Stegostoma tigrinum: one gene and its partners. The protein of the gene in region 3 purifies or fractionates together with the protein of the main gene of each other region. This does not show direct contact. Links are inferred from orthologs where the notes say so. Each region holds a gene or a part of one and is shown on either strand. Other genes may lie near its edges. The genes, in order: ddx20, tgfbr1b and strap.

Region 1 (10,262 bases), on a different chromosome or scaffold from region 3:
CCAGTTTTTTGATGTATTCTTTGTTCAGAGATGAAGTTATTTGAGCCAGAAAATAGTACAATAAATCACCCTGTTCATGGGCTGATGAATATTGTGACATCTCAGAGGCTCCCCCATTACTGTACTCAACACCTCTCATTGACCTAAAGCCCATCCTCTAACTCATGTTAAGCTCAAGAGTGTGAGAGTGATGGCAAAGATGAACTGCCCTGGCATTCTAATGATTCGTAAAGTGTAATACTGAGCAAAATTATATTGTTTGAAAACTCTGCTTCTACAAGAAAAAGCTTATTTAGAAATCTAGAACTCACACTTCTATAGCACCTTTTGACATCCCAGGGCACATTGTAGCCAATAATGTACTTTCACAAGGTGGTTATTGTTCAATGATGACCTGTCAGAAAGAGCACTATCCGTATCTAAAACTGATGTGTCAACCTGGTGAGCTACCACGCAGAACTAGGTACATTATAGAATCCCTACAGAGCAGATAGAGGCCATTCAGTCCATTGAGTCTGCACCAACCCTCTAGAGAGCATCCCACCCAGACCTACCTCTGTAACCCTGCATTTAGTATGGTCAATTTACCCAGCCTACACATCCGTGGACGCTATGGGGCAATTTAGCACGGCCAATCCACCCTAAACTGCACATCTTTGGACTGTGGGAGGAAACCAGAGCACCTGGAGGAAACTGCAGATGCTGGAGAATCCGAGATAACAAAGTGTGGAGCTGGATGCTGGGAGAATGTGCAGACTCCACACAGACAGTCACCCAATGCTAGAATCGAACCCAAGTCCCTGGCGCTGTGAGGCAGCAGTGTTAACCACTGTGCCACCCTACACAACAAACAAAGGAAGCCACAAGTGCTAATTCCAAACAGCCCCTCAACCAATAGATTAGATCTAAACGCCGCAATCCTACCTATCCAGTCATTGTGGTGGACAATTAAATAAAGAACTCAATCGAGAATGAGGTATCACAAATATTCTGATCCTTAATGCTGGGAAGAACAGCGCATCAATACAAATGATGAGCCTGAAGCATCTGCATACATTTTCAGCCAGAGGTGCCAAGTAGATAATCCATCTTGGCCTCCTCTAGAGATGCAAAAATGTCAGATGTCAATCTTCAGTCAATTCAATTCACTCCTTGTGATATTATGAAACAGGTGAGGGGACTGGATACTGCAAAGGCAATAGACCCTCACAACATTCCAGAAAAAATATACTTGCATTCCAGAACTGGATGTATCTGTTGTAACGTACCTCCAGTACTATTACACACTGGCATCTACTCAACAATATGGACAATTGCCCACATAAGTCTAAAAGGTTGTAAGTTATAACAGCAGAAATAGGTCATTCAGCCCAACGAGACTACTTTCATGAGATCATTGTTGATCTGATAATCCTCAATTCCACTTACCCGCACTTTCACCATAACCCTTGATACCCCTCCTGATTAAATACATTAGTCTTGAACATACTTAATAACCCAGCCTCGACACCCCTCAGCAGTCAAGAATTCTACAGACTTACTACTGTCTGAGAGAAGAAATTGTTCTTCTTCTTGAGGTGGCCTTGACTCTGAAATGTTCCCCTCTGGTCCTAGACTTTCCCCCAAGGAGATTAAGCTCTCAGCATCTTTGCTGCCAACCTCTCTAAGAATCTCGTTCTTCTAAGACTCTCAGTCCTCCTTCAGGTGCTAGTGAGAGAGGTAGTATCAGAATTTATAAGCAAAAGATCAAAAGTTCACACCACTGATGAGGATGTACTAAACAAAACTAGCATGCTGTTAAATCTTTAATCAGTTAGAAGTCTTTAATTGAATAATATATATATGTAAATGCCTGAATTCCTTTCAAGTCACAGTCCAAAGAGATAAAAAGGCTTTATCAGTGTAAAGAAGTTGTGACATTTTAGACAATGATTTAGATTTTCAGACAATGCATGTTAGGTGTGAGAACTTGTTTAGAATCTGTTTGTGTTTTAGTTGGAGTCAGACTGGTTTTATTTCTAAAGTAGGAATTTATAAAACACCACATTGACTGTCTAACTATAAATTGTATGCTTTTTGAACAAAAATAAAATGTATCTGCAAATATAAATTCATCCCATAGATTCACGTATGCGTGTGTGTGTGTGCGTGCGCGCGTGTGTGTATGTGTGTGTGTGCACGCACGCGCATGGGTGTGCGTGTGTGTGTATGTGTATGTGTGCGCGTGTGCGTGTGCGTGTGTGTGTGTGTATGTGTATGTGTGCGTGCGTGTGTCTGTGTGTGTGTGTGTGTGTGTGTGTGTGTATGTGTGCGCGTGTGCGTGTGTGTGTGTGTGTATGTGTGTGCGTGTGCGTGTGTGTGTATATGTGTGTGTATGTGTGTGTGTGTGTCTGTCTGTGTATGTGTGTGTGTCTGTGTGTGTGAGCGTGTGTGTGTGTATGTGTGTGTGTGTGTGTGTGTGTGTGTATGTGCGTGTGTGTGTGTGTGTGTGTGTGAGTGTGTGTGAATGTGTGTGTTGTGTGTTAGTACATCCTCATCAGTGGTGTGACCCTTTGATCTTTTATTTATAAATTCTGTGCCTGATACTCCCTCCCTCATTAACACCCAAAGGTGGACTGAGGCTCTGAAAGCTTGTGAACAAAATAAACCTGTTGGACTATAACCTGGTGTTGCATGATTGTAAGATATAGCAGCAGAATATATCTTCTGGCAGTGCAGGCTCAAACATTGGGCACTGGCCACTTGTTTAAACAAAACTAACCGGTTGGATACTGGGGCAAGAGATTGTCTGAGTGCTGACAGGATCCTAGCCAGCAGGAAGAGCCATCATAGTGTGAGTTTTGTATGTAATACTCAGTAGGCTGCAGCGAGGCCAACAGAGGGGCAATTACAATCCTTCCAACAAATTTAGCTCAATGGAACATGCCACCATGTTTTTCATGCCAATTTCTCAGCGACTGATCTGACTTTCATAGAATCCCTACAACGTGGAAGCAGGCCATTCAGCTCATTGTGTCCATGCTGCCCATCCAACCCAAACCCACCCGCTACCCTGTCCCTGTAACTCTGCATTTCTGATGGCTAATCCACACAACTTGCACATCTATGCACTGTGGGAGGAGACCGGAGCACCCGCAGGAAACCCACACAGGCACGGGGAGAATGTGTCACACAAATAGTCACCCAAAGGTGGGATTAAACCCGAGTCCCTGGTGCTGTGAAGCAGCAGCACAAACCACTGAGCCATGGTGCCACCCTACAAAAGGAGCTAGGGAAATGTGAGGAAAAATGTTTTCACACGGCAAGTGATTCAGGTTGGGGATGCACTTCAGGGAAATGTGATAGAGGCCAGTTCAATTAAAGTATTGAAGAGGACATTAGATGGCTATTTGGATAAAAATAATGTGTAAGGTTGTGGGGATAAAGCAATGGCTCTAGGCGTTGATGATATTGCAGGCGTAGTAAACGGAATGGTTTCTTTCTGTGCCATTGCAATTCTGTGATTTTATGAAAATCTCTTCATAACAAAATCCCTCCATCAACCTGGTGCACTCCCTCCAATGTCAATATATCTTTGCTTCAATAAGGGGACTAAATTTGTTCACAGTGTTCCAGCTGTGATCTGGCTGGTGCCTTTTATTGTTTTAGCAAGGCTTCCTTATTTTTGTACTCCTTTCCATTTTGAAATAAAGGCAAACATTCCACTTACCTTCCCTGTTACCTGCTGAACTTGGATGCTAGTTTTTTTGTGACTTACGTACAAGAACACCCAGACCTTTACGGATGTAGCTTTCTGCCATCTTTCCTCCATTTAGATAGTATTCAGTTCCTCTAACCTTCATGCCAAAGTGTGTCACCTCTTGTATTATATTGCATCTGCCAGGTTTTGTTCACTTGTTGAATCTGTCTCTATCTTTCTGCAGGCTCCCTGCGTCATCCTCACCCCTTGCCCTCTCACCTGCTTTTGTGTCAACGGCAAACTCTAATCCTATTAGGTTCCTCATCTAAGTCAATGTTATGTCTATTGTAATTAATTATGGCCTGAGAACTGATCCCTGTGGCACTCTGCTATTTACAGGTTGCAATCCTGAAAATCCCAACTCTCTATTATCTATTTGTTAACCAATCCTCTGTTTATATGACCACCAACACTGTGGGCTATATCTCATGAGGTAGCCTATCAAATGGCACTTTATCAAATGTCTTCTGTGGGAGGGTTTAGCAAAGGGGCTCAATCCAGGCGGTTTGGTTAGCACCAAGGGCGAAAAAAACACCTTGGGGTGTGTCCTGTTCGGAGGTAGGATCTGTATCTAGTTGGCAGAGTCTATTTGCAGGGATGAAGCTAGCCTACATGGGGGCAGAGGAAACACAATGTGGAGCTGGAGGAACACGGTAGGCCAGGCAGCATCAGAGGAGCAGGAAAGCTGATGTTTCAGGTCGGGACCCTTCTTCAGAAACTTGTCCCTGGGAAGTTGGACCAGTACCTGTAGGCAGGCCTGTTTCCAGGGGACAGGGACTGTTTCTAGGAGATAATAAGGACTGCAAATGTTGGAAGCCAGACCCTATAGGTGTGAGGCTGGAAAGCACAGAAAGTCAGACAGCATCTGAGCAGTAAGAAAGTCAACGTTTTGGGTCAAAACTCTTTGTCAGGGCTGGGGAGTGGTAGGGGAGTCCAGAAATAGAGGGAGGGAGTTGGGGCTATGGGGAGGGTAGATGGGTTGGTGAAAGAAGGATTCACGTAGGGGGTTATTGTGAGTGGTCTGTGGGAAGTGTGGAGCAGATAGGTGAGTAGGACAACAAAGTGTGGGGGTGGATGAACACAACAGGCCAAGCAGCATCCTAGGAGCACAAAACCTGACGTTTCGGGCCTAGACCCTTCAAGATGGACAGATTAGGTCACGACAGGGGTTGGGCAGGGAGAGGGATGGACATGGGATAAGGCTGGGGTGGAGGGATTTTGAAGCTGGTGAAGTCAATGTTGAGGCCATTAGGCTGTGAGCCCCCAAAGCAAAATATCAGGTGGTGTTCCTCCAACTTACATTTGGCGTCACCCTTCAGTGGAGGAGGCCAAGGATGGACATGTTGCCAGAGGAGTGAGAGGGGGAATTAAATAGGATGGTAACCAAAAGGTCGGGTTGGTTAGTGCGTGCAGAGCGCAGATGCTTCGCAAACTCTGTGTTTGTTCTCCCCGATATAGAGGAGACTACATTGGGAGCAACAGGTGCAACAGATCAGGTTGGACGTAGTGCAGGTGAATCTCTGTGGGATCGGGACACTCCACCCCCAGCCTCATCCTATGTCCATCCCTCTCCCTCCCCACCTGACCTAACGTGTCCATCTTCCTACTTACCTATCCACTCCACCCTTCCCATGGACCAACCACAACTGCACCCTACCTGTATCCACCTATCACCATCCTGACAGCCCACACCCCCCATCCCCAGTCCTGGCAAAGGGTTTCAACCTGAAACATTCAATGACTTTCCTGCTGCTCTGATGCTGCCTGACACTGTGCTTTTCCAGCCTCACACCTATAGGCATTTTAGGGGCGGGACCTGTCACCAAGGGCGGGACCTATCTCCAGGGGCAGGGACCAGTCTCCAAGGGGCGGGACCGGTCTCCAAGGGGCGGGACCTATCGCCAGAGGCGTGACCTGTCTCCAACGGGCCGTCTCCAGGGCGGGGCACGTATCTAGGGGGCGTGGCCCGTGGCCGGCAGGGGCGGGGCTCTCACTCCCAGTTCCAGGCCCAAGCCGGGGCCCTGCCTGACGCTGACGGGGTGGGAAGGATGGCGCTCACTGGCCGTCGTACGGCCCATAGCATTGACCGGCGGCCTCGTACTGGGGATGTGCTGCTGGCTCCGGGCGAGCAAGTGGATTTCGCCGCTTTGCTCCTGACGCAGCCCGTTCTGGAGGGGCTGAGGGAGGCCGGGTTCGAGAGGCCTTCCCCCATCCAACTGAAGGCCATCCCGCTAGGGCGGTGTGGGCTCGGTGAGGGAGCCGGGGGCGGGGTTTGGGAGTGAGGGAGGGGCGGGGAGGGGGCTTGGGGGGGTGAGGGAGGGGCGGGGAGGGGGCTTGGGGGGGTGAGGGAGGGGCGTGGAGGTGCCTTGGGGGTGAGGGAGGGGCGTGGAGGTGCCTTGGGGGTGAGAGAGTGGGTTTGAGGGAGAGGGTGTGGGGTGGGGGTTTGGGGGTGAGGGGGGTGGGAGATGGGAGATGGGTTGTGAGGTATGGGGGTGGTGTGGGGGGAGTAGGGGTTGGTTTGGGTTTGAGGGATGGTTTGGGGGTGGGAGGTGGTGTGTGGGAGGTGCAGTGGGTAGAGGGAGGGGAGCAAGGGGGGGTGTGTGGGGGGGAATGGGTAGAGGGAGGGAGGGAAGGTGGGTGTATGAGTTGGCATGTAGGTAAGGGTCACAGTGATGGGAGGAGGGGGAGAGTGAGAAAATAGGGAGTGTAGGGTGAGGTGTGGGAGTTGGGGAGAAGGAGAGGGAGATTGAGGGATCGGGAGGGTTGGGAGCAGAGTAGGGGGAAGATTGAGGATGGGGAGCACAAATGGAATCAGTGAGGCATGGGAGGAGAGAGGGAGGGGGTTGGTGAATGAGGTGTTGGTAGAGAATGAGGGAGTTGGGATGGTAGAATGAGGGGATGTGTGGTGGGGATGAGTGAGAGGAGGAGAGAGGGTTGATGGGGGGGGGGGAGAGAGGAGTGATTATAACCAGTAAGGGGGTATGATGGGTTGGCATACAGGAGGGGGATGTGGCAGCGAGGGTTATAAAGGTGAGTATGGAGTTTAGATTGTGAAATTGTGTTTCAGAATGTAAGTGGTTTGAGGAAATTGGGGATGGGAAGAGGTGCGCTTTTTCCACTTGTTGAGTCTTTGAGTAAAAGGTGTTCCTTCAGTGAATTTAGGGGCATGAGCTGTTTGAACACTGATCGAAATCTGCAATGTGATAGGAATGTGGGATTGGAGGAGAGCTTCCCCTGTACCATTTGCCTTGTTGAGAAGTTGCTGGCTTTGGGAGGTTTTCTGAAGATGCAGAGGGTACTGCGTGTGTGGAATGAGCTGCTAGAGGAAATTTTGGAGGCTGGTACAATTACAAAACTTAGAGCCACACAACTCTAGTGCATGGAAAGACACCCTTTGGCCTAACTTGTCCATGCCGACCAGATATACTAAATTAATCTAGTCCCATTTGCCAGCATTTGGCCTATATCCCTCTAAACCCTTTGTACTCATGTACCAATTCAGATGCCTTTTAAATGTTGTAATTGTGCCAACCTCTACCACTTCCTCTGGCATTTTATTCCATACACACACCATCCTCTCTGTGAGAAAAAAGAGACGTAAGGGGCAAAGTTAAATCTATCCCTTCTCACCTTAAACCTATGCCCTCTAGTCTTGGACTCGCCTCCCCTGGGGAAAAGACCTTGACTAATCACCTATTCATGCCCCTCATGATTTTATAAACCTCGATAAGGTCACCCCCCTCCCCCAGCCTCTGACACTCCAGGGAAATAGCTCCAGCCTCTCTACAGCTCAAACCTACAACCCTGGCAACATTCTTGTAAAACTTGTCTGAACCCTTTCAAGCTTCTCCACATCTTTCCTATAGTAGGGCGACCAGAATTGAATTCTGTTTTCCAAAAGTGGCCTCACCAATGTTCTGTACAACTGCAACATGACCTCCCAACTCCTATACTCAATGCATTGACCAATAAGGCAAGCGTACCAAAGTTCTTCTCTACTTTCTTCACTACCCTATCCACCTACGACTCCACTTTCAAGGGACTGTGAACCTACACTCCAAGGTCTCTTTGTACAGTCATATTTCCGAAGACCTTACCATGACGTGCGTAAATCCTGCCTGATTGAATATCCTTTTGAATATACAGCACCTCTCGCTTATCTAAATTAAACTCCATCTGCCACTCCTCGGCTCATCAGATCCAGATCCTGTTGCACTCTGAGGTAACCTCCTTTGCCGTCCATCACACCTCCAATTTTGGTGTGATCTGTAAACTTACTAACCATACCTCCTATGTTCACATCCAAATCATGTATATAAATGATGGAAAACAGTGGACCCAGCACTGATCCTTGTGGCATACAGCTGATCACAGACCTCCGGTCTGAAAAGCAACTGTCCTCCACCACCCTCTGTCTCCTACCTTCGAACCATTTAAAAGGCAGGGTTTAGAGGAATATGGGCCAAATGCTGGGAAATGGGGCTAGATTAATCTGGTAGGTACGGACGAGTTGGACCAAAGGGTCTGTGTCCATGCTGTACATCTTTATGACTCTGTGGTAACCAATAGCTGCTGTGTAACTGAGGCAATTTTTGTCAGAGTTATCTGCGCCCCTAAGTTTGAACACCATAAAATATTCTGATGTGAGTTTGATAAATGAAATATTGACACAAGAATCTTTTCTCAACATAAGACAGCGATATAGTGTAACTTGATGTGATTGGTTTTATCCCCCCTGGTCACTGCTGGATTTCAATAAAACGTTTCTGTTCTCGTCAGTTGCTCCCCAAAAGAAATGCTACAAAATAAATTCATTTTCTGTCTTTCCGAATCTGTGTTGTTTTAAATGGGGTAATTAACAATGAAGTGCTGGTGATTACTGGGCTGTCGTCGCCGGTGGTGGTAGTGGGAGCAATTTAAAATAATCAAGGATATTGTACTATGTGCAGCTAATCAGTTTGATTACGATACTTAGGCACCAGAAGTCTGGACGTGCTTCATGACATCATTAAGTGCTGCAATGGGTCACATCTTAAGCTTGAAAATTCAGCATGTGATTTTTCTTTACAAAGCTATGTGTCTCTTTCAGATCTGATTGTGCAAGCTAAATCCGGTACAGGGAAAACATGTGTATTTGCTACAATTGCATTGGACTCCGTTATCCTAGAGAATCCAGCAACACAGGTTAGCATTTATGCAGAGGTTGTTCCGAACTTTGCATATTGCCCTTTTCTTGTGCTGTGTAAATTGTTGTTCCCTTTGGAATTTGGAATTCTTCTGCCTGTCCTGATGGGAGCGAGACAAAAAGCTTTGACAGCATGCCTCTTTTTCGGCAAGCAGTTACCAGCAAACAACCGCGGTGAACTATAGTTAACTTCTTTTTGTACACTCTCGCCATAGAAACTTGCCCAGTTGTGTGTAATCGGGAAAAACACTGAGCCCAGTGCAGTAGTGTTCCAAGCAATCTCTGACAGTTTCTGCTCGAGCTTTCAGAGTGTTGAAAACTGGGCAACAGATATTTCTCCGCATCTCCCAGTTTTAAAAGCTTGAATGCATGGGAAGCGGGATTGCATGTTTGGACACAGATTACCTAGGGCAATGTTTGCTCACATTATAAGTATTTCTGTGGAAGTAGGAGTTGAGATCTTGTATTTACATAGCACGTTTCGTGGTTGAAACACACTCTCAAATGTTTTACAATCAATGGTGCACTTTTGAACTGTAGCTACTACTAAAAACACTGGCAACTCTAGCCAGTTTGTGCCCCACATAATCTCACAAAGAAAGCATTTGGCATGCTTGCCTTCATCTGCCAGAGCATTGAGTTTAGGAGTTGGGACATCATGTTACGGCTGTACAAGACACTTGCTAGGCTGTATTTGCAGTATTGTATACAGTTCTGGTTGCCCTGCTATAGGAAAGATGTTATTAAACTGGAAAGGATGTAAAAAAAGATTGACAAGAATATTATTGAGATTGGAGGGTTTGAATTATAAGGGGAGGCTGGATAGTTGGGACTTTTTTCCCTGGAGAGGAAGAGACCGAGGGGTGACCTTAATAGAAGTTTATAAAATCATGAGGGGAATAGATAAGGTGAATAGCCAAAGTCTATTGCCCAGGATAGGGGAGCCCAAAACTAGAGGCATAGATCTAAGGTGAGAGGGGAAAAGTTTAAAAGGGACCTGAGCGGCAACTCTCTCCACACAGGGTGCTGCGTGTATGGAGCGAGCAGCTAAAGGATGTGGTAAAGTGGATACAATTACAACACTTAAAAGACATTTGGACAGATACATAGATAGAAAAGGTTTAGAGCGATCTAGGCCAAATGCAGGCAAATGGGACTAGTTCAGTTTAGGAAACTGGTTGACAGGGATGAGTTGGGCTGAAGGGTCTCTTTCTGTGCTGTATGACTGTACAGTTCTGTGACTCTATAATAGCTTGATGACTAGTTGATGAATAACTATTGGCCAGAATGGCCAGAAGAAAGCAGTTAATTTTTAGAAAAGTATTCTTTGTTCTCTGT
Region 2 (11,229 bases), on a different chromosome or scaffold from region 3:
CTGTTGTCTAAAGGCCCCCTGGGAGTAGCTATACATTGGGATGGGAAATAAATCAGAAAATAATAAAGGCACGTGGAAAAGGCAGTACATTAATCATGGGGGACTTTAATCTTCATGTAAATTGGAATAGTCAAATGGCAGACACAAAACCACGAGGAACAGACATTCAGGACTGTTTCCTAGAGCAATATGTTGTAGATCCTGCCAGGGATCAGGCTGTTCTGTATCCAGTGATGTGTATTGAGCCAGGTTTAATAACTTATGTCAGATCAAAAGATCCACTATAAAACAGCCATTGTAACATGGTGGAACTTAGCATTCATTTTGAGAACTTAGGAACTTAGTTGTGGTTGGTTGGCTGACCGAGTTGGCTTGTTGTTCTGCAGACGTTTCGTTACCATGATGGGTAACATCATCAGTGTAGCTCCCAATGAAGCGCTGGTGTGTTTTTCTGCCTGTGTTTAAACTCTGGAGTCCGTTGAGCTGGATTACCCCACTTCCAGTTTCCCTACACAATGGATTGTATATGGGGTCTAGCTGTATGTGTTTATTGATGGCTTTCTAAGTGGAGAAGCAGGCTTCTAAGAATTCCCATGTTTCTCTCTGTTTTGTCTGTCCCAGGATCCTGGTGTTGTCCTAGTCAACTTGGTGATTTTCCTTATCCATGCGGATGGCGATGAGTGAGTATTGGTCACGTCTTTTTGTTGCCAGTTGATGTTTGTGCACCTTTGTGGTTAATTTCCTTCCTGTTTGTCCGATGTAATGTTTGTCATAGTCTCTGCAGGGGATCTTGTCTATGACATTGGTCCTGTCCATCGTGGGAAGTGGGTCTTTGGTTCGGGTGAGCAGTTGGTGTAGGGTTGATGTGGGTTTGCCACTCTGATGCCCAGTGGTTGTAGGAGTCTTGTGGTTCGTTCCAATGTGTTCCTGATGTAAGGTAGCTTGGTGAGTGTGTCGGGGTGTGAGGTATGTTCCTGATGTCGTTCGTGTAATAGGCATCTTCTGGCCCAGTTTTTCAGGTATCCATTGTATCTGATTACCTGGAAGCGGTATTCTTCTTCTTCTTGGTGTAGTTCTGTGCTGCTGAAATGTGTTGTTGCCCGTCCAAATAATGCTGTCACGCAACTTCATTTGTGTGTGTTAAGGCGGTTGCTGCACCACATGGATAAGGAAAACCACCAATTCGGCTGGGACAACACCAGGATCCTGAGACAGCCGAAGCAGAGGCAAGCACGGGATTCCCTAGAAGCCTGGTTCTCTATTAAGAAAGCCATCAATAAACACATAGAGCTAGACCCCATATACATTCTCTGTGAAGGGAAACCGGAAGTGAGGTCATCCAATTCAATGGACTCCAGAGTTTAAAAACCAGGCAGGAAAACACAATGGTACTTCATCGGAGGCTGCACTGAGCGTGTTACCCAGCATGGTAACGAAACATCTGCAGAACAACAAACCAGCTCGGTGAGCCAACCAACTACAGCATCCACAAACCGAGCTATAAATCTACTCCAAAACATTAGGAAATTAGGTTAGAACAACTGAGCTAAGCCTAAGTGAGGGTACTAATAAAGGAATGAGGGCAAGGTTGACTGTAGTGGACTGAGAAACTGGTTTAGCCAAGATGGTTGAGGAATAGTGACAGATGTCTCAGAAAATAGCTCATGGCTCACAGCAAAGATATATTTTAGTGAGGAAGAAGGATTCTAAGAAGGGACATAGACAATCATGGTTAACCATGGAGGGTGAAAGAGAAGGAAATATAATGCGACAAAGTAAGCCAGAAGTTTGCTAAAACTTTTAAAATCACTAAGACCCTGTTACCCATGTTTCAGGGATCTTGAATAGCTCTGGCACCTGGGAGTAACAAGGGACATATGAATGATGAGAATTCCACGGAAACTGAGCACAACATGTGGAAGATATGTTTCAGATGATTGCATACCCCTTCCCTTTTCTGTTGAGAAACTGTGCAGGCTGGTCCCAGAGAAAACTGATCACCACATGCATGCAGTCAGCAATCCCCAGAATCTGTGGGAAGCCCACAATTGTCCCAAAACCAATGGATTATATGGTCTGGCTCTCTGGCCTTTTTAAAAACTGCATTTATCAACTCTTTGATGCAGTGATGAGCTGCTGCCTGTGAGATGCCACATCTGTCCCCTGTGGAGCCTGGAATGTGCTAATGTTGGAGAGGTTTAATGCTGCAGCAACTTTTAAAGCCACAGGCGTTGCGCTTTTTCCCAGTTCAGGGACCTCAGTCTTAATGGTATGTTAATTATATTGATAAAACATGCAGTTTAATTGATTACTTAGTGCACTTATAGGGTTTAATTTAGTATAATTGATTGCACTTAAAAATATAAAAATAAACTGCCCGAGCCAAACACTGGGCACACTGTGGTGTGATCTCCGTCTGAAAGCTAAAGATGATCGGGTCATGAGTTCAAAGTGAGAGGAGGAAAGTTTAAGGGTGATATGCGTGGAAAGTTCTTTACACAGAGGGTGGTGGGTGCCTGGAATGTGTTGCCACCGGAGGTGGTAGACGCAGACACAATAGTGTCTTTTAAGATGTATCTGGACAGGTACATGGATGGGTGGGGAGCAAAGGGATACAGACACTTAGAAAATAGATGACAGGTTTAGACAGAGGATCTTGATCGGTGCAGGCTTAGAGGGCCGAAGGGCCTGTTCCTGTGCTGTAGGTTTCTTTGTTCTTTGATTCTGCTGGGAGTTCTTCCCTTTATCATCCACGATGTAGTTTGAAGATATTGTATGCAGCAGTCCTATACAATTCAAGATTGAGGGAGGTCACAGATTGAGTATGGTTTCTGTGACCTTGAAGAGTCCTGTTCCCTGTTTACACGGGGTCTGCGAGGATGTGTACAGTCCTTTCTTCATTCCCTCAGGCTGCGCATCAACTGAGCTTGCGTTCAGCCCACATTGCTGCACTTTTGTCACTCAGCTGACTGAGGAAGTTGGAGGACTTCCTCTGGGTCTGGTCCTGGGAATGGCCAATGTGACAATGAAGAGGGTGAGGCAGTGAGCTGTGAAAGGGGTTGTTAGGTCTGAATGTCTACCTCTTGTCTGTAGTTGTGTCTGCACTCAAGTGTCTCTGAAAAAGGAGCATGTGGTGTCCACTGCACAGTTGTATCCTCAACTGGTGATCAGGCTTGTACCTGGTAACTTATCTGGGTCAGATTCATCCTCACCCCATTGAAGTTGGTTCTCCTCCAAGTAATTATTTTGATTAAGATTTTGCTTAGATATTATTTAGTTCTCAGTGGAGAAACAAAAAAAACCTGTTGAGTAAAAACCACCTAGCTTATTGCTCTGTGATAATGGGAACTGCAGATGCTGGAGAATCCAAGATAACAAAGTGTGAAGCTGGATGAACACAGCAGGCCAAGCAGCATCTCAGGAGCACAAAAGCTGATGTTTCGAGCCTAGACCCTTCATCAGAGAGGGGGATGGGGAGAGGGTTCTGAAATAAATAGGGAGAGAGGCGGGAGGTGGACCGAAGATGGAGAGAAAAGAAGATAGGTGGAGAGGAGAGTATAGGTGGGGAGGTAGGGAGGGGATAGGTCAGTCCAGGGAAGATGGACAGGTCAAGGAGGTGGGATGAGGTTAGTAGGTAGGAAATGGAGGTGCGGCTTGAGGTGGGAGGAAGGCATCGGTGAGAGAAAAGAAAGAAAGAAAGAAAGAAACGTACAGCACAGGAACAGGCCCTTCGGCCCTCCAAGCCTGTGCCGATCAAGATCCTCTGTCTAAGCCTATCATCTACTTTCTAAGGGTCTGTGTCCATTTGCTCCCTGCCCATCCATGTACCTGTCCAAATATATCTTAAAAGACGCTAACGTGTCTGCGTCTACCACCTCCGCTGGCAACGCATTCAGGCACCCACCACCCTCTGTGTAAAGAACTTTCCACGCATATGGAAGAACAGGTTAGGGAGGCGGAGACAGGCTGGGCTGGTTTTGGGATTCAGTCGGGGGAGGGAATGAGCTGGGCTGGTTTTGAGGAGGTGTATTCTAGGTAGCTGTGGGAGTCGGTGGGCTTGAAATGGACATCAGTTACAAGCTGGTTACCTGAGATGGAGACTGAGAAGTCCAGGAAGGTGAGGGATGTGCTGGAGATGGTCCAGGTGAACTTGAGGTTGGGGTGGAAGGTGTTGGTGAAGCAGATGAACTGTATTGGCGCCGCCTCTTGCTCCCAGAGGAGCTCGAACAGTTCAATTGCAGAACACCTCCGCTCGGTTCGCAATAAGCAACTGCACCTCCCAGTCGCGAACCATTTTAGCTCCCACTCCCATTCTTTAGGTGACATGTCCATCATGGGCCTCCTGCAGTGCCACAATGATGTCACCCAAAGGTTGCAGGAACAGCAACTCATATTCCGCTTGGGAACCCTGCAGCCCAATGGTATCAATGTGAACTTCACCAGCTTCAAAATCTCCCCTCCCCCCCACTGCATCCCAAAACCAGCCCAGCCTGTCTCTGCCTCCCTAACCTGTTCTTTCTCTCACCTACCCCTACTCCCACCTCAAGCCGCACCTCCATTTCCTACCTACTAACCTCAGCCCCCCTCCTTGATCTGTTTGTCTTCCCTGGACTGACCTATCCCCTCCCTACCTCCCCACCAATACTCTCCTCTCCACCTATCTTCTTTTCTCTCCATCTTTGGTCCGCCTCCCCCTCTCTCCCTATTTATTCCAGTTCCCTCTCCCCATCCCCCTCTCTGGTGAAGGGTCTAGGCCCGAAACGTCAGCTTTTGTGCTCCTGAGATGCTGCTTCGCCTGCTGTGTTCATCCAGCTTCACACTTTATTATCTTGGATTCTCCAGCATCTGCAGTTCCCATTATCAGTGAACAGTATGTATTTGATTGTATTAGTATTGAAACGTCTTCCAGTTTCTCTTCAAAACGACTGTCCCATTTCACACTGGCTGCTCGACAAGTGTATTTCAGAAACAGGAGAGAGATCAGCCTTTCCTCAACAGTTTTTTTAAAAGGTAGTACTCTATCATTTGTTGCACATTGCTGTAATTTAGTTGCAAATTTGTTCCTCTACATACCTCCATCCAGTTGATGGTTTGGTGAGAGGAAACTAAATTATACATTTTGTTTTCTTCCTTCGTTCCAGTCAGGTAGATTTGGTCCTTGGCCCCTCTGGGACATGTATCTCCAACAATACAAATTTTACCTTGATAGTACTACCCTCCCACTTTCCTTTCTCAACACCCTGTTCTCAGGATGCTCTGATTTCAGCACCCGCTGTGTTTGGTTTTGGTTCGAATCCTGAGAACTGGGAAGAAGTTGGAAAACATTTGTAATGAGGTTTAGAGCAAGTTGTGAGGGAAGGAAGGGACAAAAGGAATATTGGCACAAGGCAAAAGGAGTTGAGGATGGGAGGATAGAGAAACCAGGGCTGGATATATTCCATTGGCTCCTTCAGAATGACATTGCAGACAAAAGGAGGTGGGGACCGGGGGTTGGCCAATTGAAAAACGCCTATCACAGAGGCCAGGGCAATTGTGACCGATCTACCTATCACAGGCTACTTCTCATTCTGTTCCTAAATGCACTGACGGCGACCAATGAATGAGGTTCGGAGCCGAATCGATAACCTAACAGCAAGTTTCATCGCAGGATGCGCGGCAGTAACCAATCAAAAGGAACCCTTCGGGTCTTTCCGGCAGTCATCCAATGAAAAGGCGCACTCCCGCGGCTCCTCCAATAGGAGAGCATCCAGACGGACAGCCTGTCGGCAGGCGGGCGCGAGGGAGCACGTTGCGATTGGGAGAGACTCGGCCAATGACGATCCACGTCGCACGGGGGCAGGCCAGGAGCCACTCACCCGGCCCGTCTTATGATGGCGTGCAGTATGTGGGGGGAGGTGTCGCTGAGGCAGCCAATGGGAGGGCCTGTGTCATACGGCCGTCGCAGTAGTGGTAGCGGCGGCGGGGCTTACTCTGTCTGGAAAGTCGCGGCTGTGTTAGGGGGCGGACGGAGCGGCTTTGCAGCCATGGCGAGAGCCGGAGCCTCTCATCGCGCGGTGCTCGGTTGCCTGCTTTTGCTTTTGATCGGTGCCTCCGGAGCGCTGGGTGAGTGATGGTCGGGGCGTGGGGGGGGGAGAAGCAGGTTGCTCGTTCGGCTGCTTTCCGAAGGGGTGTGCGGGGGGTGGTATTGTTCACCAGAGGCCCGGGGATGGGGAGGGGGTGGAAAACCTGGGGACTAGGAGCGGCCTAGTGAAGGGACAGTGATGGGGCTCTCTCTTCCCAACTACCACAGCCGGGGGGGGGGGGGGGGAGATGCCGACCAGGGCCTTATCGTGCTGTCCCTGAGAGGAGCAGCGGCCGACCCTAGCCTGGCCTGGCCCGGCCCGGGTGGCGGGAGGAGGAGGAAGGGCCAGTGGGGTCTCACGCCCGGATGTGGTTGCCATGGTGGATGCCAGGGCTCGCAGAGCTGACCACTCGCTCCAAGAAAGACAGCCCGGAAACCCAAACACCTTCCCCGGGGCAAAGAGGGACCCCCCTCCCTCCCCACCACCAAACACCCTCTTCCCCCCAACTCCACACAGCTCCTGGAGTTTGGGAGCGGCTGGGAGAAGCTGGTTCAGACGAAGTGCAATCTTTTACAATCCTCACTCAATTGCCATCTGATTTTTCTTTTAAAAGATGTGCAGCAGGGAAGATACGTTGCTTACGTTTGCTTTGGACTTTTTTTTAAGACAAAGTCCTTTCCAGTAGTTGCACATGTTCCTGTAGTTTAGGGTAAACAACTTGACAAGAACTCTGCAGGATGTAAGTCGTATGTCGACATCTTCGGAAATGTGAAGCCAGTCTTGCGAAATCATACGTTTGATTGAAAATATCTTTTAAGACAAAATGACAATGTGATGGATCAATTTTAAAAATAAATTATCTTCTCGAACGTTTGGGAGACTAGTTTTCACTAACTGGATCCACTTCTGAAGTGTTGCTCACTGCATCGCTATGTTTTTTCCCTGGTGCCGCAAAATAATTGAACGACTTGCAGTGATGTTTAACGTGGCGAAGTCCTGTGGTGCTTTGTGAATGGGTATAATGCCTAAGAAAATTGTGAAGTAGTTTTGGAATGTTTAAATCTGATAAATCGCAGTGTATGTATTGACAAAAATCTTGTTTATGCATTAGCCTATTAAATCAAGTTCCAATAGCTTCGTATTTGGGAGCCACCTGCCAATGTTTACAATTGTTAGATCTAGTTTTCTGTGCTGGAGGGAGTATCTGAAACTCCAAGGTATAAGCAGGATTAACAAGTGTGTTGTCAGTCTGCAGAAGTCAAAACCAGTAGTGTGGATGCTAAATCCTTTAGATCTGAATTTTCTAAAACCAATATAAAAGCTTTTGAAGGCAATTAACCATCATTAACAGTTATTTGACTGGGAGTGTTTGTGTTCCACCCTAGAATTGACATTCTTGCAACTAAAGTTACTGGCATAAAAGCTGCTGATAATGCTTAGGAACATCTTTTTACTGTGCATTACTTTCATGCACACTTGTATTTCTTTAAGAATCCTTCCACCTCACTAATCCCTAGATGTGCAAGGAAGTGACTAAAGGTTAAACCCCCTTCCAGATTCTTTCCATTCCTGTAAAAACTGTGCAACAACCACAATTTGCTTCACTGTTGATTATTGTTTTTCTGCATTAGCTGTGAAATGGAAATGTAGATGTGTTTGAAGTGTCTAGCAAATGCACCACAACATTGACTTGATGGAAATGAATATATGTTTATTGATATTTCAAGACATTTACCTCAGTTTCACTTGTTTCAAGCCAATAATCTGCAGTTGTTTGGATTTCAATGAGTTTGTAGTTTTGTTGTCAAATTACATTTCAGACAGTAGAGCAGTGAAAATAAATCACCATTTTTAAAGCAGTTTCTGTTTTTTTTTTCTTGAAAGTATGCGTTATCCCAACAAGAATGGCAACATTTGCAGCGAAACAGAGTTAATGTGTTGAATCCAATGTGATTGATTTTGAGGAATGGTCACTTTGGACTTGAAACGTTAACTCCACAGATGCTGCCAGACCTGGTGATTTTTCTGCAGCATACTGTGTTTCAGGTTTCCTGCATCCACAAAATTTTTGTTTTTAATTTAGAATCAAAGGTGACTGTTAAAACCACAGTTACATATTGCATTTTGTACGCAGTGTTTAGTGTTCAGTGTTGAGGTTGTGCACTATACTAGGTAGAAGTGTGGATATGATATTGAAGTGGAGATGTTGTGTCTGGCCCTAGGTACGATCTGTTCAAGCTGAGCTTTGTGTAGGAAAAGAGATTGTTAGGAGATATGGGAAATTGTGAACTTTGAAGGAAACTAATTAGAATTGAAGGGGAAACATGTAGTTAGCTTGTAAATTATAAGTGGCAGAGAGATCTGAAATAGAAGAAATTGTATAAACCTCCAACCAGAAGTAGCCCATAGCTTAGGAAATGGACGCAAACAGCTAGTCAGCAGACAGGGTGTGGTGAAATGTCAGACAGGTCCTGTTTTCTAGACTTTCTGCTTGATTAGATAAGTGCTGCTTTCATCATATCCTAATATGGTACTTTTGATTTCAACATCCACACATGTGGATCAATCTGTTTGCACTAACACCTGTGAGATAATTCATTTTGTCCATGCTGTATAATGTAGTGTGTGTCATTTGGGAACAAAATGTCTTAGATGTCAAAATAGCTTTGCTTAAGAACAGCGATGGAACCCTGGTGAAGTGTTTTAACAGGTCACTCAGATCTATTGCTATTAGCTGGCTCCATGCTCTTTGGGTGCAGATAAAGCCCCCCAGCCTGTTGAGAATTGAGAAGGTTGTTGGCTCAATGCTGCTGGGCAGTTGGCTTTGCAAGTCCTGGGGTATTAATGAGCTTAGTGGATTTGATAAGAAGCTGCCTGCTAGTGACCTGGTTATGTAAATAAGCAGCCATAGCCTGCGAGTAAGACTGGCATTTCCCAATTCCCAACATTGGGATTCTGCTGGAAAGTGAGCAATCATCAAGGTAGTTGTAATTGTGTGGTTTTTGAGGTGAATTGGTGGCTAGATCTTAGAAAGAGAAGAACTGAAATCTCTTGAGTGGGTAGAGTTTAAAGGAGTTTTGAGAGTCTTGGTTGTGATTTTAATTTTTAAATATGGAGGGCAGCTGGTGGTTAAATGCTTAGGTGTATGGATTTTTTTGGAGGTTTTTGCACTCTTCTAATGCCTTCATTTAATGTCTGCAAGTTCATGATCCTTTTCTATACCCTTTAGTCTAGATCCTTTTCTGAAGAATGGTCTAGACCTGAAACGTCAGCTTTCCTGCTCCTCTGATGCTGCTTGACCTGCTGTGTTCATCCAGCTGTAAACCTTGTTATCTCAGATTTTCCAGCTACTAACTCTGTAACAATGATATCTCTTGATGCGTTTAGTTTTACTCATTATTTTGCTTGGTCACAAGCTAGGCACTTGCAAGAATAAGTAGTAATGTTGAACCTTTTCAGAGATACTTGGCATCCTTAAAGGGCTTCTGCTGTTCTCCTGGAAATCTCTGACTGCATCTGACTTCTGAGTAACAAAATTGCTTTTGGAACCTGGTGTTAGGCATGTGCGCTGGCTTTGAGTGTGTATGTCTTGTCACTGGGCAAGTTGCTTGGAACAAGTCATTGTTGGAATGTGCCTTGCACCTAGATGTGGAGGATCTTGCAAAGTGATTATTGGTTGTACTTTTGTAGTGCTTTGAGGTGCCTGCTGCAGATTACTTGCTTTGCAGACTTGGGCAAAAGTCTGGGAATCACTACTATCTGCTAAACTCTGACCTTCGTCTTGGGTCTGAGATCCTTGTGCTTAAATGCTCTTTTTTTCCCTTCTGTCAAACAAAGGCAGAGCTGTTTGCATTGTAAATGATGATGAATTTCATTGTGTGTCTGCTTTCTTCGGGATGTGTCTCCCAAGATATGGAAAATGATCTGTATTTTCCAGGATTTCTCTCCTGATATTAACTGACGTGGAGAGGTGTTATGGTGTGGGAACCAGTTGGAAGGGGGCCTTTTTTTGAGTGTTTAGAGAGGCCCATTTTTATCATGGGAGTCAATAGTAGCCTGGAGCTCAGTTTCTGAGTGAGTGCACACATAGGTGTCATCTGCATACTGCTGCGACTGAGATTGGAGCAGTTTTGGTTTGAATTGAGGATGGGATGTGAACAAGTTCCCATTTGTTTTGGAGGTTAGCTCTGCCGGGAATTCGCCGGAGTTGAGGTGCAGTATTGCAGTGAGAAAAGTGGACAGAAGGCTTGGTACAGTTAGAGTCTTTGACATCTGTCCGCACCAAAAAGTCATCTGGGAATGTATGCATACGGGCTTTTTGTGTTATCATGAAGGTGGGTGTGGGGTTTAAAAAGTCAATCTGACTCTGACTTCATCCTTCTCCCCTGTAACTATCTGAAGCAGAACCAGGCATCTGCAATCTTTGTGACCTATTTGACTGAGATAAGCCTCCATTTGTTCAGCTATGATAGGCTATTTTGACTGTCACAACAGAAACCACCTCCACTGCCTCAGTTTGCCTGTTTTTAAAAAAAACTTCTTCCATGCCTCTTGAGATAGTAAGAACTGCATATGCTGTTGTCAGAGATAAGTGTGGAGCGGGAGGAACATAGCAGGCCAGGCAGCATCAGAGGAGCAGGAAAGTTTGATGTGTCAGGTTAGGACCTCGTCTTTGCCTCTTAGTTCGAGATTTGACTATTCCAACACAGCCAATTGATGTTTTATCTTCCACTCTTTGTAAATGTAAGATCTTCCAAATTACTGCTGCCTGTCTCTTAACTCATGCCAAGTCCTATTTGTCCATCACTCCCTGGTGACTAACTACATGGGCTACTGCTTCAGTCATGTCTTGATTTTAAATTTATAATCTTTTTCAATTCTCAAAAATACCTGCACTTATTCAGTTCTCTTTCACATTCCTGATGTTCCATGTCAGCAGCCAGGCTGTCCACCTCCAAAACCACAAGGTGTGGAATTCTGTTTCTCTGTCTTTCATTCTTTTACGATGTTATTAAACATTTAATTCTCTTGCTGGGCTTTTGATCATCTTGCCTAGTATCTCATTATTTGTACTGGTGTCTCCTTCTGTTTAACATTGAGGACATTACAGGGCCTTGTACAACTTGAAAGACACTATAAATGAAAGTTATTTTAAGCCTCAAATTGT
Region 3 (10,624 bases):
AACAATTTACAAACACGCAAATCAGGATTTTGGTGGGATATTCTATACATGTGCCTGAGAAATAAGAAAAACAATCAAGAAACACAACATCACCCAAGATGAAGCTGCTGCGTGATTGACAACCCGTCCAACACCCTCAACATTCACTCCTTTCATCACTGGTGCACGGTTGTTTATCATTTATAAGATGCACTGCAGAACCTCATCAAGACTTCTTTAACAAACCTTCCAAAGCAATGATCTAACACTGTGGGCAGTGAAGGTCATTGGGTCACAATCCAGGAACTCCATCCTTAACAGCTTTGTGGATAGCACATGGACTGTGTAGATTCAAGAAGGCAGCTCACCATCGCCACTTTGTGTAATTATGAGCAACAAATGTTGGCCTTTCTAATAAAAAAACGAAAAAACTGCGGATGCTGTACATCAGGAACAAAAACAAAGTTGCTGGAAAAGCTCAGCAGGTCTGGCAGCATCTGTGAAGAAAAAAAGAGTTAATGTTTCGGGTCCATTGACCCTTCCTCAGAACATTCTGAGGAAGGTTCACTGGACCCGAAATGTTAACTATGTTTTTGGCCTTTCTCATGATGCTTTATGAATTTTTTTTAAAATGGCTACAAGAAAATGACTTACCGTTCTGAACATTAATCACAAACTGCAGGACAATTCCTGGTTGTTGGTGAACTTTCACAGTTAAATGAGTAAGTTAAATAAAAGTTTTGTATTTGATCACAGGTTAGCACCCCAAAAACTGCTATTCTAGGAGTTGTCACAAAAGTTAAAGATGCTACAGAAGTACACAAAATTCTCTGATTTACCTGACTTTCAGACCCAGTTTGATAAAAAACATGGATGAGGTTTCTCTATTGAACATGAATCACTATTTACCAAAAGTAATTTGACTCTAGCTACAAGCAAAAATGTTATATCAACATTTAATACTCTAATTAAAACTTTAATCCCCTTATAAACTCCACATTACACACATACACACAACAGATAAACAGACAGTGTAACATAATATATAGAGAGCAGCAAGACTGAAAATGTATCAGTGATAATGGGAACTGCAGATGCTGGAGAATCCAAGATAACAAAGTGTGGAGCTGGATGAATACAGCAGGCCAAGCAGCATCTCAGGAGCGCAAAAGCTGACGTTTCGGGCCTAGACCCTTCATCAGAGGTCTGCTGTGTTCATCCAGCTTCACACTTTGTTATCTAAGACTGAAAATGTAGTTGTCTCCAAATACCTTGCAGACTCTTGAGACTCAACATTGTGTTCAATAGAGATAATAATGTGTAGAGCTGGGTGAATACAGCAGGCCAAGCAGCATCAGAGGACCAAGAAAGCTGATGTTTCGGGTCTGGACCTTCTTCAGAAATGTGGAAAGGGTAGGGGATTCTGAAATAAACAGGGAGCGGGGGGGAGGTGGATGGAAGATGTATAAAGGAAAAGATAGGTGGAGAGGAAATGTATCGATCAAAGAAGTGAGGAAGGAGCCAGTAAAGGTGAGTGTAGGTGGGGAATTAGGGTTGGATTTGGTCAGTCCAGGGAAGTTGGACAGGTCAAGGAGGCAGGGATGACGCTGGTAATTAGGAGGTGAGGGTAGGGATTGAGGTGGGAGGAGCGGATAGGTAGGAGAAAGGACAGGCAGGTTAGGGAGGTGGGGACAGGTTTGGCTAGATTTGGGATGCAGTAGGGGGAGGGGTGATTTTGAAACTTGTGAAGTCCACAATGCCATTGGGCTACAGGGTTCCCAAGCGGAGTTTGGGGTGCTGTTCGTGCAACCTTCGGTTGGGAATGTTGTGGCACTGCAGGAGGGCCAGGATGGACATGTTGTCCAAGGAATGGGAGGGGGAGTTGAAATGCTTCACAACTGGGAGGTGCAATCATTTGTCACGAACCAAGAGTAGGTGTTCTGCAAAGCAATCTCCAAGCCTCCATTTAGTTTCCCCGATGTAGAGGAGACCTCATCAGGAACAGTGGATACAATATACCTTGTTAGCAGATGTGCAGGTGAACATCTGTTTGATGTGGAAGGTCTTCTTGGGGCCTGGGATGGGGGTGAGGAGGGAGGTGTAGGGGGAGATGTAGCAATTCCGGCGGTTGCAGGGAAAAGTGCCAGATGTGGTGTAGCTAGTGGGGAGTGTGGAGTGGACAAGGCAGTCAAGGGAGTTCAATAACTTTGGAGCCTGACTCCATCTTTCCACATTTTTTACACCCACCTCCACATCCTGGTTCTGTCATGACATGCGCAGCCAACACATTCTCACCCACTCTTAGTCCTATTATCACATGAAATGATTTGCTTTCAGCACAGCCTACCCATTATTACCTACTCTCTGCTCTCATTACCACTTAATCATCTTCCCTGGTGTCCTGGCCTATTATCAATAACCCCCTCTCCTACCTAGCCCTTTCAAATCTCTCTCTCTTTGGATTCCATCTTCAGCTATCCACTCGCCTCTCCCCCACCACCTCCCAACAATACCTCCTCATCTACTCTGTTGTCTTCAGTGTAAATACCACTTTTACCTGATTTTACCTGATACCTGGCTGCTATCAGTTCTGGTTTACTTCAGGTTTATATGGAGTTTTGACTTCAGAGAACAAGAACACTGCTCCTGGGCTGTGGAAGAACGGAAAACTTCTCTCCATCTGTAACTTAGTCCTAGCTCCAAGCAGTTCAGTTATCTGTAAAGCAATCATAATGCTGTTGGCAGGCAAAAATGTCTCTGTCATTGACAACTGGTCCATAGACCAATTAACTTCTTGTTGCCAGCAAGAGCTGCATTATTACATTCCCTCTGTACCTTTAAGCATCGGAGTTTGGAGGTCATGTGGAGGTTGTTCAGGACATTGGTGAGACCTCTTTAGGAGTACTGTGTGCAGTTCTGGTCCCCCTGTTATAGGAAGGATGTGTTATTAAACTGGACAGGTCTCAGAAAAGATTTACCAGGATGTCGCCAGGAATGGAGGGTTTGAATTATATGGGGAACCTGGACAGGCTGAGATTTTTTCATTGGAACTTGAGAGATTCAGGGGTGATCTCATTTAGAGGCTTATAAAATCGTGACGGGTATAGATAACGTGAAAGGCAGGTGTCTTTTCCCTAGGGTGGGGGCTTCAATATTAGCGAGCATGTTTTTAAAGTGAGAGGAGAATGGTTTAAAACAGACTTGAGGAGCAGAGTGGTTTGTGTGTACAGCGAGCTTCCAAAGGAAGTGATGGATGCAGGTGCAGTTACAATGTTTAAAAGACTTTAGATAAGTTCATGAATAAGAAATGTTTGGAGAGATATGGGCCAAACACAGGCAGATGGGACTAGGATAGTTTGGGTTTACAGTCAGCATGTACTTGTTGGACTGAATGGTCTGTTTCCATGCTGTATGGCTCCATGACGACAGGTTTGCAATTATTGCTTGTTTAGACAGATGTGTGAATGATGCCAAATGTGAGCATCAGGTTACATGCTTTTCAGAACTGTTCCAAACAATAGTTTTTAAAGCAGCTCTTTTTCCATGTCCACGTCTTTTTATCTGGAATGCATTAATGACTTTAGGATATGTGAAAACATTTCATCACCAAATATTTATTTTTAAAGATTGATCATTGTTCCTTTGTGGGAATTATAGCAGTCAATTTGCTCCAATCGAGGTTCCAGAATCAGCATTGTCACAATGACATCATGATGTTTTTGTAATGATGTTTGAAAAATTGGGCCAGAAGTTCAGGGAGAATGTTATAGCTTGATTTAATTGCCCATAGTTACATTACAACCATAAGAGTGGGCAGACTTCACCTCTGATCTGAAAGACAGCGTCTCCTTAAGCATTATACCGGAGTATCAGCGTGGAATCCACCCAGTGCAGGGAGGGGTGGACATGTCAGAGGTCCTTCTGGAGGGTCTGATTCTGGGCCTGGCCAAAGTGGCCATCAGCAGGTTCAGGCAGTGTTCCCAACTGTTGGCCCCTCTTTCACACTTACATCTGTGCTCGGCTGTCCCTGGGGATGGAGCCTGCAGTGCTCACAGGAACATTTGAGTCCTTTGGAGACCTATGGGCAACACATAGGCTAGGGTGCGTCATCAGACTGGACAACGTTAATTTAGTTTGGTAAGATTCTATATTATATATTAATCTGTTATATAAGATTCTGTTCAACTGTTAAATTTGTGTTTTATTTCAACAATGTTTCATTTTTAATTTTGATGTCCTGTTTTGAAAAGTGTGGAGAGAGCTTTGCTCAGTGCTATCCCTGTCCTGGGAGTGTTTGATGGGGGCATTGCTGTCAGTTTAAAAAAGTCCAGTGAACTTTATTTTTGCTTACTTCTAGTCTAGAAAAGTAGAGGTAGGCTTATTCAGTAGCAAACCCCATGTCCTGCGGGTGCTTGGTGGGAACAATGTTGAGTGAGTTTTACTTTTAATTTAAAAGAGTAGAATCTGTGCTCAAGTCTTTGGAGTGGAGCTTGAACTCAGTATATTTTGACCTAGACTGTAAATGGTTGACACCCAGTTGCAGCATGTCCTCATATATGTGACAGTGTTCCACAGTTAATGAAGCACCTTTCAAAACATAGGTATGGTTAGTAAGTTTTCAGATGACACCAAAATTGGAGGTGAAGTAAACAGCAAAGAAGGTTACCTCAGAGTACAATGGGATCTTGATCAGATGGTCCAATGGGTGAGGAATTGCAGATGAAGTTTAATTTAGATAAATGTGAGGTGCTGCATTTTGGAAAGGCAATCAGGGCAGGACTTACACACTTGAGAGTAATGTCCTGGGGAGTGTTGCTGAATAGAGACCTTGGAATGCAGGTTCATAGTTTCTTGAAAGTGGAGTCACAGGTAGACAGGATAGTGAAGAAGGCGTTTGGTATACTTGCCTTTATTGGTTCGTGCATTGAGTATAGGAGTTGGGAGGTCATGTTGCGGCTGCACAGGACATTGGTTAGAACACTTCTGGAATGCTGTGTACAATTCTGGTCTCCCTGCTGTAGGAAGGATTTTGTGAAACTTGAAAGGGTTCAGAAAAGATTTACAAGGATGTTACCAGGGTTGGAGGGTTTGAGCTATAGGGAGAGGCTGAATAGACTGAGGCTATTTTCCCTGGAGCATCAGAGGCTGAGGGGCGAACTTATAGAGGTTTATAAAGTCATGAGGGGCATGTACAGGGTGGATAGACAAGGCCTTGACCCCTGAGGGGAAGGGCAAGGGATTGGAGGAGTCCAAAACTAGAGGGCATAGATTTGAGGTGAGCAGGGGAAGATTCAAAAGGGACCTACAGGGCAACCTTTTCACACAGAGGGCGGTGTGTGTATGGAATGAGCTGTCAGAGAAAGTGATGGAGGCTGGTACAATTACAATATTAGAAAGGCATCTGGATGGTTGGCTATAAAATAGGGTGGGATTAGAGGGATATGGGGCAAATATTAGCAAACGAAACTAGATTTATTTCGGATATGTGGTTGGCATGGACAAGTTGGACTGACGGGTCTGTTTCCGTGATGTGCAGCTCAATGACTGTAATTACAGTCACAGGTGGGAGTGCAGGAGTATATTGACATAAAGAGAACACCTTTTCTCACTTTTGAACAATGGCATAGAATTTTTTTATAGGCACTTAAGACCCCAAAATGGTTTGGCCAGTCATCTTAAAGACAGCGAAAAATGATAATTCTATCAAAAAAAAGTTTCTTTTTTGCCTGGCAAACGTAAACAAGATAATGTTTGAGGGTATTTAGTAGAATATTGTACGGAGTTCTACTTGGTTGGTACAGATATGGATGGGCTGAATGGCCTGATCCTTTACTCGAAAGGCGAATGATAGTTTGCACATTGGGAATTGGACGAAATTTATGAATGGAGCCCAGTCAATGAAACTGCGCATGTGCGACCGCTGCGTTTCCCACGAGCCGCCACGCGTGGCGTTTGGCGTCACTTCCGCTACAGCTAACGGGGAGTCTGGAGGTTCGGGAGAGGGAACCAGCCCAGACCGGACTGGGAACACGCGACACCGGGATTAACGGACCGGTAAGGGGGCCGGGAAGGGGATAGCAGACCGACAGCAGCACGGCGGACACCCAGTAGTAAAACACAGTTTGGGGTGAGGTGGAAGCACCACTGGGAATGGCCCACCTGGAGTGACGCACCGGGAAAAGTGTGATCAACACCTGGGAATACAGTAAGATACACAGGGGACCAGGAACACACGCTGAGACGCTCCATTGGTGGGACCTGGAACAATACCGAGAATATACCAGTAAGATATACCAGGAAGACACTGATAAGACACACCAGGGGGTACTAGGAAACCATACCAGTAAAATATGGCGCCAGAAATAACTTGGGGCAGGGTTGGTTGGGGAAGAGGACCGGGAACACTACTTGGAATAACACACTGCCAACACTCACCGTTGTTAATTGTGACAGTAAGGTACACCAGGGGAACTAGAAACGCACCCTAGGAAAATACTGGTAAGGCACACCATTGTGAAAACACATCAGTAAGACTTACAAGTGAGACAGCAGGAATGCACATTACTGAGATGCACTGGAGAAAAAAAATTGGTGAGCCACTCTAGGAGGGAGACTGGATGTATACCAGGCACGTGCACCAGGAAAATACTGGTAAGATATGGAAGGGTAAGGCACGCCAGGTAAATTCTGGGAGATAAGTAAGAACCACAATAAAGGAGTAAAAATACCAGGGGAATAAGAAAGAAGCACCAATTAAAAGGGGACCTGGTAAAAGTGTGAAAATACCAAGTAAGAAACACAGGTTGAAAACACTGAGTAAATGGTTTAAAATTCCAGAGGGGAGAAAACCAACTTAAAATGATGAAACGTCAGGGACTGGATATGAAACAACTGGTTTATAACATTTGAGGACTGGGTTAAAAACGATCAAATAAAAGTATTGGGTAATAAACACCAGGTAAAAATGTAAAAACCATCAGGGGATGGTGAGAATTTCCAGGTGAAAGTACTCTATTTGCTTTCTTCCTATGTCCTTTGATCACTTTAGGCCTAAGAACTATCTAAGTCCTTAAAATGTTCAATGTTTTGGCCTCAACCACTTTGTGGCAAAAAAATTCTACAGGTTTGCCACTGTCTAGCTGGAGAAATTACTCCTTATTTTAGAATCTGTTGTTAAGAAAGTAATGAGAGGAATTTTAAGTCAAAATAAATCATGTTTGACTAATTGCTAGAATTATTTGAAGATGTAACAAGTAGTGTGGATAAGGGGAGGGGGAAGGGGGTTCTGAAATAAGTAGGGAGAGAAAGGGAGGTGGTTAGAAGATGGATGGTGGAGAGGATTTGCTTTGGGAGAGACCCCCACTGAGGTTTTTCCGGAGGGAGAAAGGTAACTTCTTCGGAGTAGGCATCCTAAGAAGAGGCTTCGCAGTGCGATTAAAATTGTTTGAGATAGTAGGAACTGCAGATGCTGGAGAATCTGAGAAATACAAGGTGTGGAGCTGGATGCGGGTCTAGGCCTGAAACATCAGCTTTCCTGCTCCTATGATGCTGCTTGGCCTGCTGTGTTCATCCAGCTCTACTCCTTGTTCTCGTAGTACTATGTCTAGACTTCCAGAAGACATTTGATAAGGTGTTGCGTAAAAGCATAATAATATGCAAGCTGAGTTCACATGGGTTAAGGGTAATTTATTTGTTTGTATAGAGGATTGGTTAACAGCAGTAAGCAGAGTTGAACCTCTGTCTCTATCTCAGGCAACCAGCTTGAAACTGATGTCCATTTCAAGCCCACCGAATCCCACAGCTACTTAGAATACACCTCCTCCTACCCACCCTCCTGCAAAAGTTCCATCCCCTATTCCCAATTCCTCCGTCTCCGCCGCATCTGCTCCCCTGATGAGGCATTCCACTCGCGCACATCCCAGATGTCCAAGTTCTTCAAGGACCGCAACTTTCCCCCCCACAGTGGTCTACAACACCCTTGACTGCATCTCCCACATTTCCCGCAACACATCCCTCACACCCCGCCCACGCCACAACCGCCCAAAAAGGATCCCCCTCGTTCTCACATACCACCCCCCCAACCTCTGGATACAACGCATCATCCTCCGACACTTCTGCCATCTACAATCCGACCCCACCACCCAAGACATTTTTCCATCCCCACCCTTGTCTGCTTTCCAGAGAGACCACTGTCTCCGTGACTCCCTTGTTCGCTCCACACTGCCCTCCAACCCCACCACACCTGGCTCCTTCCCCTGCAATGCAGGAAGTGCTACACTTGCTCCCCCACCCCCACGCCCCAAGATGACTTTCCATATTAAGCAGAGGTTCACCTGCACATCTGCCAATGTGGTATACTGCATTCATTGTACCTGGTTTGGCATCCTCTACATTGGGGAAACCAAGCGGAGGCTTGGGGACCGCTTTGCAAAACACCTCCGCTCGGTTCGCAATAAACAACTGCACCTCCCAGTCGCAAACGATTTCCACTCCCCCTCCCATTCTTTAGATGATATGTCCATCATGGTCCTCCTGCAGTGCCACAATGATGCCACCCGAAGGTTGCAGGAACAGCAACTCATATTCCGCTTGGGAACCCTGCAGCCCAATGGTATCAATGTGGACTTCACCAGCTTCAAAATCTCCCCTCCCCCACTGCATCCCAAAACCAGCCCAGTTTGCCCCCTCGCCCCCTCGCCCCCTGCACCACACAACCAGCCCAGCTCTTCCCCTCCACCCACTGCATCCCAAAACCAGTCCAACCTGTCTCTGCTTCCCTAACCTGTTCTTCCTCTCACCCATCCCTTCCTCCCACCCCAAGCCGCACCTCCATCTCCTACCTACTACCCTCATCCCACCTCTTTGACCTGTCCGTCTTCCCTGGACTGACCTATCCCCTCCCTACCTCCCCACCTATACTCTCCTCTCCACCTATCTTCTTTTCTGTCCATCTTTGGTCCACCTCCCCCTCTCTCCCTATTTATTCCAGAACCCTCACCCCCATCCCCCTCTCTGATGAAGGGTCTAGGCCCAAAACGTCAGCTTTTGTGCTCCTGAGATGCTGCTTGGCCTGCTGTGTTCATCCAGCCTCACATTATATTATCTTGGAATAAATGGGTCATCTTCTGATTGGCAAGATGTAACCAATGGGGTGCCAGAGATCTTTAGGCCCAACTATTTACAAGCTATATTAAAGACAGGGATGTGGGGATAGAAAGTACTATGGCTAAACTTTGCAGATGGCAGTAAAGCAGGTAAGATAGTAAGCTACAATGAAGAAATAAAAAATTTACAAATGGATATGGTTATTTGAGGTGAATGGGCCAAAATTTGGCAGATGTAATTTCATGTGGATAAATACAAGGCTATCCTTTTTGGTCAGAGGAATAGAAAGACAACCTATCAATGCAAAGGGATCTGGGCATCTTTGTTTGTGAATTGCAGAAAACTGGTATGTAAGTACAGCAGGTTAAAAAGGAGACAAATAGAATTTTGGCACTTATTGCTGAAAGAATAAAGCATAAATGTCAGGGAGTGTTTCTGCAATTGTATGACATCTTAGTGAGATGGCAATACTTTTAAGTGCATACAATTTTTGTCTCCTTACTTGAGGCTGGGGGTGATAAAGTTTGGAGGAGGTTGGCTAGATTGTTTCCAGAGATGAGGGTTTGTCTTATGATGAGGCAGATGACCTAGTGATGTTAGCGCTGGACTGTTAATGCAGAGACCCAAATAAAGTTCTGGGGACACTGGTTTGAATCCCGCCATGGCGATGATGGAATTTGAAGTCAGCAAAATATCCTGAATTAAGAATCTAATGATGACCATGAATCCATTGGTGGAAAAACCCATCCGGTTCACTAATGTCCTTTAAGGAAGGAAACTGCCATTCTTACCTGGTCTGGCCTACATGTGACTCCAGACCCACAGCCAAGTTGTTGTCTCTGAACTGGCCTCTGGGCAATTATGGATGGGCAATAAATGCAACCTGGTCAGTGACGCCCTCATTCCCTGAATGAATGAAAGAAGAGAGATTGAACAATTTAGTCCTGTATTCCCTGGAGTTTAGAAGAATAACAGGAGATCAAATTGACGTATGCAAGGTGCTGAATGAGATTGACAAAGTATTTGTAGGAAGGATGTTTACTCGTCGGAAGCAGTTTATAACAAGAGGTCACAGTTCTAGGATAAGGAAGGGGTAGAAGATTTAAAACAAATGAAAAGTTACTTCTCTCAAAGCATAGTGAATCAGTGGCATACACTACCCAAGAGTTTGGTGGTTGATGGGATATTGAGTAGCTCTGTATATTTTTAACTAGTAGTGGGTGGAAGGTTATGGAGAGTGAGCAGGAAACTTAGAGTTGAGGCTGTAATGAGATCAACTGCGATTTCAAATGGCTTGAGGAGGAAAATTGCCTCCTCCTGCTTCTTAGATAACAAGGTGTAGAACTGGATGAAAACAGCAGGCGAAGCAGCATCAGAAGAGCAGAAAGGCTGATGTTTCGGGCCTAGGGCCTCGACCCGAAACATCAGCCTTCCTGCTCCTCTGTTGTTTGACCTGCTGTTTTCATCCAGCTCTACACCTTGTTATTGCAGATTCTCCAGCATCTGCAGTTTGTATTATCTCCTGCTTGTTTTTATATTC

Evidence for each region.
Region 1: the proteins of strap (region 3) and ddx20 purify together in Homo sapiens (affinity purification with mass spectrometry; 3 studies listed by BioGRID and IntAct, counting the BioPlex papers as one, with this or other methods). This does not show direct contact. The link is inferred for Stegostoma tigrinum from reciprocal best matches to the Homo sapiens genes STRAP and DDX20.
Region 2: the proteins of strap (region 3) and tgfbr1b purify together in Homo sapiens (affinity purification with western blotting; 3 studies listed by BioGRID and IntAct, with this or other methods). This does not show direct contact. The link is inferred for Stegostoma tigrinum from reciprocal best matches to the Homo sapiens genes STRAP and TGFBR1.

The regions. Positions count from the first base shown.
Region 1 is NC_081374.1:5,648,757-5,659,018, forward strand, and holds the start of ddx20 (probable ATP-dependent RNA helicase DDX20), read left to right. Parts: upstream 1-5,709; 5' UTR 5,710-5,787; coding exon 5,788-5,989; intron 5,990-8,828; coding exon 8,829-8,923; intron 8,924-10,262.
Region 2 is NC_081358.1:11,704,106-11,715,334, reverse strand, and holds the start of tgfbr1b (TGF-beta receptor type-1b), read left to right. Parts: upstream 1-5,927; 5' UTR 5,928-6,023; coding exon 6,024-6,102; intron 6,103-11,229. UniProt on the Homo sapiens protein: Transmembrane serine/threonine kinase forming with the TGF-beta type II serine/threonine kinase receptor, TGFBR2, the non-promiscuous receptor for the TGF-beta cytokines TGFB1, TGFB2 and TGFB3.
Region 3 is NC_081378.1:42,719,654-42,730,277, forward strand, and holds the start of strap (serine-threonine kinase receptor-associated protein), read left to right. Parts: upstream 1-5,918; 5' UTR 5,919-6,033; intron 6,034-6,132; exon of another isoform or gene 6,133-6,262; intron 6,263-10,624. UniProt on the Homo sapiens protein: The SMN complex catalyzes the assembly of small nuclear ribonucleoproteins (snRNPs), the building blocks of the spliceosome, and thereby plays an important role in the splicing of cellular pre-mRNAs.